Styela clava: one gene and its partner. The protein of the gene in region 2 purifies or fractionates together with the protein of the main gene of each other region. This does not show direct contact. Links are inferred from orthologs where the notes say so. Each region holds a gene or a part of one and is shown on either strand. Other genes may lie near its edges.

Region 1 (8,419 bases), about 7.7 Mb from region 2:
TGAATATATATATATTCCAATTTCAAATACCTTTCAATAGATTTAGATTATTGAAAATTTGCGGTTAGCATCCCTTTTTCAAATAATAGATTTCGTTATTATTAAAATGCTTTCTAAAAGTAGATTCGAGCGAGTCATGCTTTTATTCATATACAATGCCGTCAAATAGAACGGTGAAATAATGAGCTCGTTTAAACAAAAATTGTATCCAAAAGCGTTATTTTTTCAAAAAAGCCCTGAGATGGCATAAACTTAAAAATGCGTTTTTTCATCCCGACATGGGACAAATATATAGACCAACTAGGTCACAACGCGCTTATTCTGCCCGACATTGGACAGATATATAGGCCAACTAGGTCGCAATGCGCTTATTCTGCCCGACATGGGACACACATATAGACCAAATCGTAACAAATCGGTCGACAAAATCGTAACAATGAGATAATGCGAGCATAGGTATTTTAGCGTAGCGAAGTACATTGAATTGAAAATATGTTTTAACCGTACAAAACCAAAGTTTTGAAATAAAAATACGCCATCCTTCTGTAATTCTACTTTAAAACTTTTACCCTTTTCTATAACCTCTTCTTCTATTTCAATGTCTCGTCTCATTTTAGATCATATACATGTAAATGTTTTTTTTACTTATATCATTAATTTTAGCATTGTGTATAGTATTTTTCTGAATATTTTCACTTTATCAGGGTGCCAAATCTTTTAAACTTCCAGTTAGTAAGATGGGGAGATAATTTATCAATAACCCTCATGAGTTCACCCTAATTTCAGAGTTTTACCCCCATTTACTATTAAAAATATGAAAACAAAGTTAATTTTTCTCAAAATTCAAACAAGTATTTTTGTGGAAATCAAATCACTATATAATGACGTTTTCTTTAACTATGGGAATTCAAATTTTATTTAAATTTTTAATCTTATTGTGTTCAACTCGCGATTACGTCCCCCATAAAAAGAACATTACCTAATACATAATAAAGCGACACCAAAAAAATGAAAATTACCATACTCGCCTGATAAGACGACCCCTCAACATCAGGTCAAAAATTTGAGTCTAGAAAAGCGACTTATTTGCCGGGAAATACGGTAGATGTTAATTTGATTCGCTTCGAAGTTCTGAAACTTACATTCCTGCTCTTGTGTCGTTTCCCCTAGATCGGTTCTACTCAACTATTTTTACTTCAAGATACAAAACTTCAAAATTTGCGGAGTCCAGACTTTTTAGAAAATTTATTTTACAGTAAGCCTGAAAACTGCCTTTAACTTCGAGGTCAGTGAGTTAACGAAAAAGCAATTCATGTTAAATTGAGTAACCGCAAAATATATATATGAAGACATCTTTGAAAATAGTAGTTCCCCGGCTGGTGATTATTCGCTAACCTGGTCAGTTTATTATGGCATCACAGTTTTCCTCGTATATAGTTTGGTGCAAGTATGAGAAATGATGAAACTAACTCTAAAACTATAAATAAAAGGTATTTAATAAAAGAAAACTTCCGCATATCCAACTTTCATGGCGCCAATACTCCAAAAGAAAGAAGCAAGTGCGGTCCGAAACAAATATTCAAAGGATCCGGATCTGGACCGCGGTCCACCAGTTGAGTAGCCCTGCCCTAGTAGATATTAAATAGCCTATCACGACCTGGAGCATAAAATTTCTTTGAACTGAACTTTAAGTACCATACAACTCTTATCACACACACGATTTTGTTTTGAAATAATGAAACCCGACAGAGAAATTATCACCAACACGCGCTATATTTTCTGTCCGGTCGGTAAGCAAATACACAAGTTGTTAGTTCATAAATTTTCTGTTAAAGAGCCTTGCTCGAATATAAGTTCCACCTCAGAGCTTCACTCTCAATTTCAAGAAACCTCATCTTTTTTGGGAATAGAATGGCTATAATTATCTTCACCTACCGGGTTTAACTTAAGCTCTTGTGTATATAAATGTTCAACATTCTTCGAAAAATTATTTTGAAAATAAAAAACAATATTTATTTCCCGCAGCTTGAGTTTTTTTCGTGTGTGCCAAGGAACGCTGATAGTATCAGGTATATGAATAACAAACGCATAAATAGACTTTTAGCCTAATTGTTGACAATGTATAGTTCTCCGCATCTAGCAATATGCATCAGCCTTGAGGAAATGAATAATAAACTATGGCCTATCAATCGTTAAAATATATAATGTTTGTTATTGTTCTTCACACTTCCTACCAGTTGTAATTGCTTTGTTTTTGAAGGATGCTTATAGAAGTTAAATACCCATCAACGTACCAATTACTATTGATACAACAGCTCCCGCAACTCTCCGAAGCAGACTTTTGTCACCCACCGAAATGATGATTGGTCTCGGTCGGGCTGTCACTTGTTGATGTCAAAAATTCATCCCGGGTGTGAAGCGACTGCAATTCCAAGTTGTTGGCGAATTCTGGCACGAACAAAGAAATCGTCAAATTACACATAAAGAGCGTTTGATAAGTATTGCTCTCACAATTTTGAATGAGAAATGTCCGCAAATGTTGACAACAAATTTAATTCAAAAATTTTTCAGTGAGGGTATGAATGTACTTGTCCATTTCAAACATTAAATAATGACGAAAATGTGATGTAATGAATTTCGTTACAATTTTGAAACTAACTGCATTCATTGTTGGGATATGGTAATGCATCTATGAAGTCTTGCCATGTTATGTAAAAAGAGTATTTTATTCGAACCTGATATTGTTCGATTTCCTCTTCTAATTCGTTCATACCAAACTGGAACAGACAAAACACAATAAACGAAGCAAACAGATGCCAATATGAATAACATAACAGCCACAGCACTGATTGCGATAACAATATCGCTCCTGTGAAAAAAAGTATGAATATCAGTCTGAAGTAAAGTTGACTGTAATTAGTCTAAAATATATCATTATCCAAATGTACATTATATAACTCGCAAAGTTAGGTAACGAGTTAAGATTAAAAAAAATACATCAGTTTGTTTTTAAATGAATCACACCAATCAGGTATGTTCTAAATCTAAACAAATATTTTTTTAAATTATTTCAGAGTGTGTCATTAACGTTTACGTTTTCGAATATTCAGAGCCAAATGTCATCTAATATTTATTCTGGGTTTTCTTTACACGCTTGTGGTGTAAATTGCAAATTTGCTTACCAAATTCATAATTAGGTTAGATTCGATTTTGATTATGCCATTGACCATCGAATCTGATTTATGGGTTCTCTGAAACCAATCAGGAATACTTGTGAAGAATTTGATTTAGTTAAACGGCCCAATTCTTCGAAACAGTTCAGAATATTAGCACTCACGAAACCAAGTCCTTTCTTTTGCAACAATAATAGTAAGATATCGATTCTGAAGTGGACGAGGAACAACATTTCATCGTATTCTTTTCACATTTAACCTCGACCATGTAACCAAACTCGTCAACGTATGGACAGACTAAGTGATCATCATATTCAAGTATGCCATCAGTAGAATATTCGAAATAACCTAAAAGAGGACGAATTGACGCAACTCAATAAAGAAAATGCCAGCTAGCTTGCTTTGAATATCGATGACGAATTTTAATTGATTTAATAGTGGAAATTGTTTCATGCATACAATTTGAAATACTTCTACTTAATCTAAGATTAAGTGTTTCAAACGTGTCTATTACAATTGACTTTCTGAAGGCTTTTCTGCCAAAGAAATTAAAAACAAACTTTCGAAATTCAGTACTGAAAAGCAACATGTAAATATTTACACAGCAACAAACCTGGAAAATTCCACCTCAATCATCAAGAAAACTCAAAGATTTTGGTGGTTGGAGTATTGTACACGTCAGCTTTTTAATTTCTAAGTTTCAATCAATATTTGTGGACTTTTTGGTAAATCTCTTTGTTATCAGAAACTTTGCTGCGCAGAAAAATGTGTTTTTTCTAGCCTTGGTTTTCATATGCAAAATACTCTATAAAAATACTGACCGCTGCCCTCCAATATAAAGTTTTCAGTGCCCTCCATGACTGTTGCTGTTTATTCATCATCTCACAGAGTAATGGATGCAAAAGTAAGACAACTTCCATTTAAAAGCAAATTGAAATTTGATGTTAATATCAGGCTGCGGGTTTGTTATTTGTGTTCCATTTACGGTTACACGTGTTTTGGAGAGTGCCTATCTAAATTTGGCGGTATGTTTACACTAACCTCTCGTAGAACGACAACATTGGTATGATAACATGCTTTATTTGTTTTTCGTTTGTATGATTTCTACAGCAAATGTTCGTTATACACGATTAATGGGTAAAATATGAACTCGGGGCAGCATATAACAATTTTTGAATCGCACTAAGCTACATAATGTGTTCAGCTTGCAAATTGTGAGCAAATTTGCAACGTTTCAAGTGCATTATAAATAGCGTAGTCGATTCACAGCAACGACGGCATTAAATCTGCCTATTCTGTATTTATTTATTATTCAAGTATTTCATTCCTATATATATGCTTCTACATTCCTTTTTATCCATTCCGGACATTGTCGCGAAAACTTTCACCTGGTACGTGCGACAAGCAAATTAATTCAGGCAATGATATATAGGATTTACATATAGGAGGATAGGATTTACATATTTATCTCGGGGGAGAGGAAAGCCGATAAGCCGGCTTATCTATATGGCGAACCACGGCCTCTCGTCCGGTTACCATTCCAAGTCGGGTATGGGAATAGTTATATTGTTTTGTTTTCGTAAGCATGGACTTGGTGGTGGAGGAAGCCGTAACCGACCAGCGGTTACGTGAACCACCCAACGACGGCGAGGAGTCCAGCAATCCTCTCGCACATAACCATCTCTGCATGGGATTCGAACCTGCGAACCCACTCAGAGTAATTAGAGGTGCGGTGGCGAGCGTATTCCTAACGCTTAGCCCGTTGAGCCACACCGCCGCGCAAAAAAGACCAAATGTAAGAAAAAAATGGACGTCGTGATTCACTGCAAAATAAATATGATATCTTGGAGGATATTATTTGCATTGAAACTATTTATCGTGATATCTCATTTGCTGCTCCTTGACCTTCAACATCAATGCTTCATCATTCCCCCAAGTTTGTCAAACCATTGGTCAAAGTTATTGTGCGGTGTTGTCTTGCAGGCTTCGTACTGTCGTATATGCTACTCGTTCTCGAGTTTCATCTTTTTTGAAACTTTCTGCCATTATTCACGGAATATAGTTGCTCGATGGCATCTCTGATAAGCGTTACAGGCGAAAGTTTGCACGAAGAAGAAATTGATGACGCTGTCCCTGGAGCAACACCTTTCTTCAAAGTTGATTTTGATGAAATCGAAAATGGAGAAATTGTATCAATGGTCAAACTTCCTAGCAATCCCCAAGAATATTTAAGAGGGGTTATGTGAGTTTTTAGCGTTTTGTGACCATTGGGCTATTATGCAGCCATGTTCTACTTTAATGTGTATATTATTTCAATATTTTTAATATTATTACACTTTTAATATTATTTAGAAAGTAAAAATATAATTCCATTGTATGGCTTTTGCTAAATTCATTGTTTTACAGGCAACAAGCCAGGAATACACCAAATGTTGTTGTTGCAAAAATAGATCCAAGTAAAATTAAACCAAAACTGAAGCCAGCGATACCTTCAAAATATGTAAGTTCCTCAACCATGATTTATTATAATTTGTTATAATTAAACCATGTCCAGAATTTTTTTAATTCTTAATTAGTAAATTTGAAAGAATTTTTTTGCATTGGCCAAATGATATTGCAGTTGTAATTGTTAATGTTAGACTTATTGAAATGTCAGTAGGGCACACTTTACAGATCGAGCGACATTGTCTCGTTCCAGAGAATCCCATTTTGTCGATGAACATACAGCCTTCCCTTCGGGGACGTCTGGACATTGTTGTCCCTCAAAATCTGTAAAAATACATTAAAATGAAGTTGCATAATGAAATAAGAAGCGCATTCATGTGTTTATGAGATGGTTTAGGGATTTTTTCAATGTTTATCCACCTGTCTTTTTATGGTTTTTACGATTTTTTCAATTGTTACCCAGCTAAGTGAACAAGTAACTGAAGTAAGATCTGATTTGATCCCAAGTAAAGAATGGCAGGAACAACAATTAGTAGATTTCGCAACAACAAGGGAAGAATATATCAGACATCTTGCCAAATTGAAATCTATCAGTCGTCAAACAAAAAAGAGGCCAAAACTGCCAATTTATCCATTGGTGAGAAAACATTGTTTGTAAAATTTCATTATACATTTAATATACTATACTAAAGTGTCACACTTTATTAGCCAAACTTATGCCTTGTTTGATGATTTTACTTGGTATCAATTTTAAGTTTAGATTCATTTAAAGAAAATCTGACCATTTGAATAACTGTTTGATGTATAGTGGACAAAATGTCGTGACTTCGCTATCCTACTTACTGATTTTTCATATCTGGTAAAACGATGTTGGTGACTTGGGCACAGCTGCAATCAATGTTTACTCAACTCTTCAAAAAAAAAAACCATTGGTTGTTTTATTTGTCTCTCAACCACAAATTTTCACTCAGAATATTTCTCAACTGAATGGTTTTGATCTCAGTCTGGAGCGTACTTGATAATATGTCGTGCATTGTTCATCATATTATATAGATCTTGCATGGGCAAACTACGGCCCGCGGGCTAAATCTGGCTCGCTGGGTAATTCAATCTGGCTTGCCTGAAACTGAAATTTCATGATAAGTTAAAAATAGCTCAAGGAATTTGTTGAGATTGCGTTCAAATTGAGTTTTGACACAATGATTATTGTTTTCCACTTTTACTTTTGTAACACTGTAAATATTGTTCATAAAATGTAACTTTAAGTCACACTTACATGGCCCACCAGTCAAGGTGGGCACAATTTTTGGCCCCCGGTCCAAAAACCTTGCCCACTCCTGATGTAGATCATTATATATTTTATTTTCTGTATTATTATTTGATATATTCAGCCTCCTTGGGAAGATGAAGAAAGCTGGAAATTTCTGTGTTTTGGAAGAAATCTAAAACGAAAGAAACAGGAAACTGATGAAGACAATAATGAGACCACGTTATCTCAAGGTCTTTTTTTCATATAATCGGCCTATAATACAATATGATTGTTAACTCTGAGATATAAATAAGATTTCACATTTTTTCGAGAAAGAGAAAGTCAATAAGACAGACACCTTAATCTGATAGCAAATCACCATCTTTTATTTGATTTTAAGTCTGAGCCAGGTATAGGAATAGGTAACCAACTCCCAGATGCATGAATGGAACTCACCTATGTTTTGCATTACGCTACCCGCAATGAGAACAATCCTTTCATTAAGATCACCCAATAAAAGATTTGAACATGTGGAGTTTATTCAGAATGATCGTATGCAGTCCCATTATTCAAATAGTTGTCACACCTTCATTCAATTTAATTAGTCTTTCAAATGTATTTGGCACTAATTGTATATTTTTCAGTTTTTAGAATGAATCTGTTAAGGATTCTAGTAGGCCACTTATTTTCTAATTTTCCTGGTTTATATTTTGCTATTTATAAACCCACAGGTGCTCATACAAAAGAGTCAGATGAAGATGACAATCTACAGAATGCCTTAATTGCTGGAGGACGAACAACTGCTGATATACTTGCTGATCAAATTAATAGCGAAGAAGATAGGACAGTTGATTTATCCACTCTTGAGGTTGGTTTAAACATCATTCATATTGGGGATTATAGGCCACAACTGAACCCAGTGTTGGTTGATAGTGGTGCATTAGATTTATGGATTAGTGATTAGTCATGCTTCCAGCACAGCTTGCTCATTTTAAATGATTTTCACCTTTTTGCTCTTAAATTAGTTTGAAAAACGAACTATTCAACTTTTCAAAATCCAGAGTTTGAGTTATGTGTAACACTAGCTAAGTATTATTTAAAGATTGAACAATAATTTGGAAAAGGTTGGACTTGGGGGCCACTGATCAGGATTACTAAGTTTTCAATAGCAAAAATTTTTGGTTTTCACCCTACTGTAATTCTCATTTTGTATACTAGTATACATTGACTTATGATATTGGCTGAAGTTTTATTTTATTGATTAATTCAAGAAATGTAACCCATGTATATCTCACCTAAGGGTGCTTTCAATTGGGTTGTCATTTTGAGTCAAGAAGTGTGATTCTCATTTTACTCCATATTTACTTACAGTATTTTAAAGACTAAAATCAATGCACATATTTTTTTTATTGTGGGCTCCATAGGAAGGATTCCCACCAATGATGAGAATACTTCTACGAATGGATTCTAATCAAGTTGAAGCAAATCTGGAGTACCATACACGATGGATGGAGGAAGATGGTTTCAGCCATGAACAGGGAAGGTAGACTGA
Region 2 (7,832 bases):
GTAAAACTATATTATCATGGACTTCCTAACGTGTCCTGAAAAATTCGCCGCAGGAAATTTCGGCATAGTAAACAAGTATTTGTGATAGCATAAAAAATCGCTGCAAGAGCATTTTGCTGTAAAACAAGTATTTGTGATAAAAACAGTTGGTAAGTTTATAGGGTTAGGGTATGCTCCTAAATAACGAATCTTTTTTAAATAAAAAGATACTTCAAAAACTGGCCTGGAGAGTGGGGCACCCGCTAGAGGGCGATAAACATTAGCGCAGACAAACAGGCCCGCAACTGTTTTTATCACAAGTACTTATTTTACAGCAAAATGCTCATGCTACAATTTTGCTTGTGGCGAAATTTTCTGCAGGGAGATTTCCTACAGCGAAATTTTTTGCGGCGAATTTTCCTAGAACCACTTCCTATAATATTCCATTTATATGCTCCACACCACAGTCTGTAAAAAAAAATTCCCCAAACTGAGTTGATAATTGACAATGATAAGAACATACAATACACACATTTTCCTTAGGTATAGTTTCCATAATTTCATCTAATGTAGATCCCAAACTAGGAATACCGGATTTCATTGCGAGTAATACAGCACTTAACGCAGCCCTGCATAAAAATATATAAAACAGGTAAAATTAGTAAATTGCACAATAGCAGACTACCCTATGGTTTATAGGCTTGAACTATATGCAAAACAGTACTATATCAAACTCATGAATACATCACATGCTCATAATGCTGATCATTTTGAGTAATCCAAGTAGGGATGGTAGGGATTATATACCATTAGGTATCACATGACTTTAGTATTATGCAAAACTAATCAGGTTTAAGCAGACCATACCCTCTTTTGCTCAAGTTATTAAAATCGGTTCTTCATTCTGATAGCAGTGATGCTAGGAGAAATAATCTTATGAGAGAAAGTAGGTATGCTGTATCCTGTATGGCCAGCTGTCAAGATAGAATTGTCTGGAACTTGATATAAGTTCAAACAAAACAAGCCTGGACAGGATAAAAGAAAATGTACAATTCAACCTCAGATTCTTGTAAAGGTTCACTCAAAGCAACAAAATCAGTATACATCCAAAGAATAGCAAAAATGTAATTTGACATACATAAACTAACTGCAAAAGAGAGAACCTTCAATGAAAATAATAGAAGCAGGAAGTATTCAAGAATATCAGCTAGATAATTACTTACTAGAGTATTGTTCAAGGAATTTGGAATATCTGAACATGGCAATGCACTGTAGGAAAAAGATTCTAGCATGTAGATTTACATAATATAAATGCATGCTTTGTAGGTAAATAAATGTTATGTCTGAATAGCGATAGCTCCCAAAGCAAACTCTTCTCACCTACTTTTGCTTTCATTTGTGTTTAAGGTTGTTTTCAAAATTCCCAGAAGTTCTGAACCTAATTCTTGAGGAACATCATGTCTTGAAGGTGCAGGTGAAAAACTTTCCTTTTCCATTACTTCAGGTTTTGTTAGACTGGTGTTTCTTTGTGGGACAGCAGGAGGCAAACTTGACAATGCATTCGGACTGGCAGTGGAATAAGTGGATTCAGCTGATGAAAATGCAAAATATAAAAAAATGTTTCAATATTTTGGAAATCCTAAATAGGCCATGCTTTATTTCTAACTACTTAAAGAGCAGATTCCCTTTGATCAATTTGAATAGGCACCAACACATGGAATGACTTTTTCGATATGCATCTTGGCATTGAACATAGCGTGATTCTATTTATTGCTGCTGAGAGAGAAATTTAAGTTCAGTTTACATGACAACTCGACACAGAAAAATATATACACAATAAAATATAAGTTAGTTCAACCTGGAAAAATCATTAAAAATGCATTTAGATCGAACCAATTGAAAAACTACCCAAAAAGGCTCCAAAAATTTAAAAATACGAGTAGAAAGTAACTCACAGACTGATGGCTCAGGAGAAACTTTCACTTCATGTTCATGTGGAGGGGGTGGTGGCGGAGCTCGTCGTTTTGTTGATGATGATCTTGACTTTATGTTAGCAATCAAACTTTCCTTGTGGGCTATTAATTTTCTGAAAAATTAACATAGTGTTTATATATATTAGCATAGAGTAAAAATTAACCAAAAAATCAAGGTAATAAATAGAAAAGTATATCACAGGTGGATATTCATATGAAAGAAAAGTATTAATCAATTGCCAGATTCTGCATGCCACTTATCAAATAACAATACTGCCCCAAACATGAAGCTCTCAGAGTAGCATTGATGCCTCGAAACTCTTTTCACATCTAGTTTAGAACTCAGAAGCTCGCCGTTCCTTTTAGAAAAGAATTAGCCTCTTGAACAGATTGCTCTCTCAATTTTTGCATTTCAATTTTTGGACTCCATGATGTATTCAGAGTAAAAATCTTCAGATTCATGAGAAAACTATCAAATTCATGAGAAAAATAAAAATTAATATACTTGAGCAAAGCTTGCTGTTGTGGCTTGAGCATACCAGCAGGAGCTGAAGCGATGAGTTCTTCAATGGCATTGTTAACCGATCGTAAAACGACATCTGACGAGTCATTCTTAATTGTGAAAAAAAATTCTCTTGACATAAAATTGTAAGTACTGGATATTATAAAAACAAGATTTATGCCATACAGGGATATAGATATAGTATAATTGGTAGTACTGTAGTACCTACTACTAGTAATAGGTAGCAAAAATACATGGAATGCACTTTCTTTGAAAGCATATAGACTACTATTTCTGCAGCATGGCATCTAACAAAATCATTTACCTTCTCCTTAGTAACATATGTTCGTGGTATGTAGCCAACTTTTCCCAGGCTGTTTGAAGCTAGCCACCAAGATTCATTGTTCTTCTCAAGAATGCAGAGGGTGTCACCAACTGAAAATGAAAGCAGGTGCTCTTGCTGAGCTTCATAAGGATGCGTTGCTTTATACATTTCCACGTAGCTTTTATCTATATACAGATATAACAGCTTACTATACCGTACTTTGCCAAATTCAAACAAACTGCAGATGTGGCTACGATTTGATTTCGATACTGCTGTAGGCTACCGCAAGTACAGTGCTGTATTTGTGTTTCGGCAATCACTCACTATTTTCTCTCCGAACCAAACTCTAGTTAAGCAAACAATGGCCGGCAGAGGCGCCAATGATTTTTTTCTCTGTTATTTTTATTTTTATGGTAGATTCTAGAAATCAAAGAAGGGGTACATATTTTAAACAGATCTATGTATATAAAACATCTGTAAATTTAATACTCAGAAAATGGAACCTGAAGCTCAGTACCGTACGGTTGCGATTCTACCACTAGTTGGAGTCATTGAGACACTGCCGATTAGAATAATAGCATGTCAAAGTAAAACTGGACATGCTACTGGTCGTTTGTCGCTTTACTGTTTCCGACTTTATGGCGCTAGAGGTGGAAACTTGCTAATATTAAGTTTGAACACGTTTATGTTCTAATATTTTACATGTAACGAACATCTTTTAGTGAGGAAAGTTTTTGAAGCTGAAACATGCTTCACTAACTGACTAATCGATGATTGTCTGTGCAAATTGTCAAGATAAAAAAAAATTACATATTACAGTATTATACAGTATTCATGTGGGTCAAATATAGATGTCTATAGACTGAATTATAAATGTGTAATGGTACTATGAAGAAAAGTGTTAACAATGTCAATGGGTTAATATAACACCTTGGTGTTGAAAATAATATATTTGTTTGTCGTATTATCATATGAAGCGGACTGCTAACCAGCCCAGTGTTTTATACATACAGACATGAGGCTTTTATATTAATTTTTAGATCTCAATTATAATCATTTCTGCATTAAACAGTTGAATAAGCTAGTTGCAATTATTCAAATCACTGTGTCCATGGATTGAGGAATTTACATTTTTCATACCTGCGTTGCTGCGTAGATGTTATTTCAAATTGAATAAAATCATCAAAGGATTAAAAGGCAGGAATCATGGCACCGAAGGAAACCAAACAAACTACATCCAACAGCATGATTGGATTTGGACTTACCTTAAATTTATGTTGCTCAATATGCATTGTTTTTCTAAATAAATGGGTTTACACCATGGTGCATTTCCCAAATATGACATTAACATGCATACATTTTGCAGCAACATTTCTTGGCCTGGTTGTATGTCATTCATTTAATGTATTCAATCCGAAGCACCTCCCTCTTCTTCAATTATTACCTTTATCTTTAACATTCTGTGGATTTGTTGTCTTCACTAATCTTTCACTTCAAGCAAACACAGTGGGGACTTACCAGCTTTTCAAAGTCTTAACAACTCCGGTAATTATTGCAATACAGTCGTATGCCTATCGCAAAAAATTCAGCTTCAGAATTAAATTAACTTTGGTGAGTTTTATTATGATATATTTATTTATTCTAGCATATGTTCAAAATAATTGAAAGTTCAAATTTAGATAATAAAATAAATATGAGCATAAAAAAATGTTAGTGTGTATGCATATGTATATTGATACAATGGTAAGTATTATAGAAAGTGTATTGAATAGGTGTGCAAGTTTTCAATGCTGATTTCAAATTTTTTTCAGATACCTATCATGTTCGGTGTATTTTTGAATTCATACTATGATATCAAGTTCAATATTAAAGGCACTGTTTTTGCCATTCTCGGTGTTTTTGTGACCTCTGCCTATCAAATTGTAAGTATAAAAATATAGAAATAGATGATGCACAAAAATCCATTTTTGATTTTGAAAATCGATATCGATTTCTTTATCAATAACAATTTTCCAATCTAGGAAAATATGTGATATAAGTAGCAGTTTTCAGTACCAGTATAATATATATAATACAATATTCAAGCAAGGTTTTGTTCAAAATTCCATTTGTATTGCAGTTGGTTGGTGCAAAGCAAAAAGAACTTCAAGCAAATTCAATGCAATTGTTATATTATCAAGCACCAATTTCTTCAATCATGTTACTTGTTATAATTCCATTTTTTGAACCTGTTTTTTCACCAGGCGGTATATTTGGTGAAAAGTGGACATTAGGTAAGAATTTCCTAGACAATCATATAAGTTTTGATGATGTTCATGCATGTCCATGGGCTTAATAATGATGATAAACCAAGTTATATGTGGGCTTGCATTTTCAACAATAAGTAATTTTTTTTATAAATGTACTTGATATATAACTGAGATTGGCTGATATTCTTCAAATGGTGTTACTTCTCCTTGCACTCATGACTCAATAAATCACACATTTGAGATAACTCATGAAAATATCTTGTCTCAATTAGCACAAATTATCATACATGCACTTTTAATATTTCATAGTTAAATTTGTTTTTATACAAACAAACTGAAACATATCTTTATATTGTATTGCCTAATTCACTCCTGAAATTATTTACCTGTAAAGAATTACCGTAAATATATCCGGTAAGTTGTTTGAAACTGATGCATTTAATGGTCAATCTTCAGGTGCTATGGGACTTATTGCTGGTACTGCTGGTTTTGCATTTCTTGTAAATCTTACTATTTATTGGATAATTGGAAATACATCACCTGTCACATACAATATGTTTGGTCACTTCAAGTTTTGTATCACACTTCTTGGTGGATATTTTATATTTCTTGATCCTGTACAATTCAATCAATTCATTGGTATTCTCATCACATTGGCAGGTATGTGTGTATTCATCTAGTAGGTAAAGCCATTTGTTTTAATGATTGGTATCGAATAATCTATACGAATACCCCAATGCAACTAAATTTTGACTTGAATTATTTTACAATGTTACCCGGGGAGTGTATTTCATGGAATTTAAAAACTGAGAAAAATTGTTCATCAGATAATAAATTGATAGTTACATGATACTGTAGTACAGAGTTGGCATATTTGTGCAACTAGATCATACTGTCATTTTTCTGTTAACCTGTCAAAAGCTGAATGTTTTTATGATGATGAGTGTCCGAGTGTCCAATAAAATGATATCATTGAATAAAAAGTCTTTTCCAATCCACAAATTTCGGTTTAAATGTGAAATAATATCAGTGAATGGGAAATCATATAATATTCATTATATAAACTATTTTTCAGGTATTTTCCTGTATACTCATTTCAAACTGGAAGACAATGCGGCTTTAGAAAAGCGAAAACCCTTGACCCAACCATGTTGAATCAATCTGTATTTTGTTCGTATTTATGCTATGTCTATTTTAGGAAATGTTGAATCAATGAATTTTCATATCTTTTGCAGGAAGTGGTTACAAACCCTTTTGATACATTCCTACCTTTGCCTTTTTCCATATTTGTTCCATAGCAATAACAAAATATTCACATTTCCACATATGAATCCCTTGTATCCACAACATTGTGTCTTCTCTCAGTTTGTAGGAAAGCTTTTACTACAAGTTGTTTCTATTTGAGTGGGAAGTATTATTAAGATCTGTAACACATGTTTTGAGACAAAATACTTCTTATATATTATGTGTATCTAAATCAAATGTATTTTGTAGTGGCAACTATATCGATAGTGTATTGCTATGGAGTTGCAAATGTTTATATTTTTAAGCCTTAGACCAGGGGTTCCCAAACCAGGGGTCGCGACCCCAAATTGGGTCGGAGTGATAAATAGATAGGGTCGCAACCAGGTCATGGGGTCGCTGAGGTATGGTAGAGGATGGATGTACAACTCATCTAAGATTTGACAAACCATGTTGAATTTAGCAGTTTGTACCATGGCTAAATGTAAAATAGGCCCATGGGCATCACTCTATGCATATGTTCTTGAAAATGTAGGTGTTTATTGTGACATCACTGTTGGGTTTTAGCTTATTTTACTTAATACCACCACTTGACCAAACTCAAAAGTCCAATGAAAAAAGCTCTCAAGTTTCATGAAAAATATATATATTGACCTGGGGTCGCACTGGACACTTGAAAGTTGTCTTTGGGGTCGTCCTGAGGAAATCTTAGGAACCCCTGCCTTACTTAGACTTATCCGTGTCAAATAATTTGTAAAGAAGTATATTATTCATGAAAACTTCTATAATGGGTATTGTCGTGCCGTGCCATAGCGTACTTTTCATCACTATTTTATATGCAGTATATTTTTGTAGCATCCATGTCTGTACTGCCACTGCGATATTCTTCTGGTCTGTGATTCTTAACCACTTAACGACGACGGGGTCGTTTTCGGGACATTGACTTTATTGCACCCCATAGTACAAACCAGAATAGCTAGAGAGAAAGCGCGATTGTCCCGAAATCGTCTGTACCCGCTCTCTCGTTTGAGCCCATTTAGCGCCACCAAATGTTTCATATTTTGAGGTCAGCCATCTTTGTTTACATTGATGTCGGTTAAAATGTGATGTCGGTAGCAGTGGGATTTTGTCGGGATTTTTTGGGTATAAAGCTTTACACCAGAGAGTCGAAAAAAATCACAGTAAGAGGCCTTTATGTGTACTTCCATTTGGTAAAAAGATTTTTGCCGAACAATTTGTTGTTTACTGCTGACGCCAGTTTTCCCAACTGTCACTAAATCGTCCCATCCGTCCATGTTTTCCAGTTTAAGTTGTCTTTCATAAACCAAGACACTTGAAAGTAAAGAGCAGAAATAGGAACATAAACTAATATGTTTTGAGTATGTGTAACTCTGTTTATATAAATTTATATATAGTGATGTTTAATTAGTTAAAAAATGTCTTTTCCTCTAAACCTGATAATATTTTGATCAAGTTTTGCTTCCGATATTGACTGGCTGGAAAGTGACCCAGAATCATCACGAGAACTGCCTGCATGGAAAGACCGTGAGTATGAATCGGAA

What was found.
Region 1: the proteins of NCK-interacting protein with SH3 domain-like (region 2) and gem-associated protein 2-like purify together in Homo sapiens (co-immunoprecipitation; 3 studies listed by BioGRID and IntAct, counting the BioPlex papers as one, with this or other methods). This does not show direct contact. The link is inferred for Styela clava from reciprocal best matches to the Homo sapiens genes NCKIPSD and GEMIN2.

The regions. Positions count from the first base shown.
Region 1 is NC_135258.1:19,319,935-19,328,353, forward strand, and holds the start of gem-associated protein 2-like, read left to right. Parts: upstream 1-4,772; 5' UTR 4,773-5,242; coding exon 5,243-5,415; intron 5,416-5,579; coding exon 5,580-5,673; intron 5,674-6,081; coding exon 6,082-6,255; intron 6,256-7,009; coding exon 7,010-7,118; intron 7,119-7,598; coding exon 7,599-7,735; intron 7,736-8,291; coding exon 8,292-8,410; intron 8,411-8,419. Other genes in the region: uncharacterized protein LOC120339927, read right to left, coding at 2,345-2,448, 2,736-2,869, 3,338-3,521, 3,995-4,031. UniProt on the Homo sapiens protein: The SMN complex catalyzes the assembly of small nuclear ribonucleoproteins (snRNPs), the building blocks of the spliceosome, and thereby plays an important role in the splicing of cellular pre-mRNAs.
Region 2 is NC_135258.1:11,599,347-11,607,178, forward strand, and holds the start of NCK-interacting protein with SH3 domain-like, read right to left. Parts: upstream 3,282-7,832; 5' UTR 2,948-3,281; coding exon 2,780-2,947; intron 2,565-2,779; coding exon 2,458-2,564; intron 2,066-2,457; coding exon 1,935-2,065; intron 1,571-1,934; coding exon 1,360-1,570; intron 609-1,359; coding exon 512-608; intron 1-511. Other genes in the region: solute carrier family 35 member E3-like, read left to right, coding at 3,986-4,390, 4,591-4,701, 4,899-5,052, 5,485-5,688, 6,104-6,183. UniProt on the Homo sapiens protein: Has an important role in stress fiber formation induced by active diaphanous protein homolog 1 (DRF1). Induces microspike formation, in vivo. In vitro, stimulates N-WASP-induced ARP2/3 complex activation in the absence of CDC42.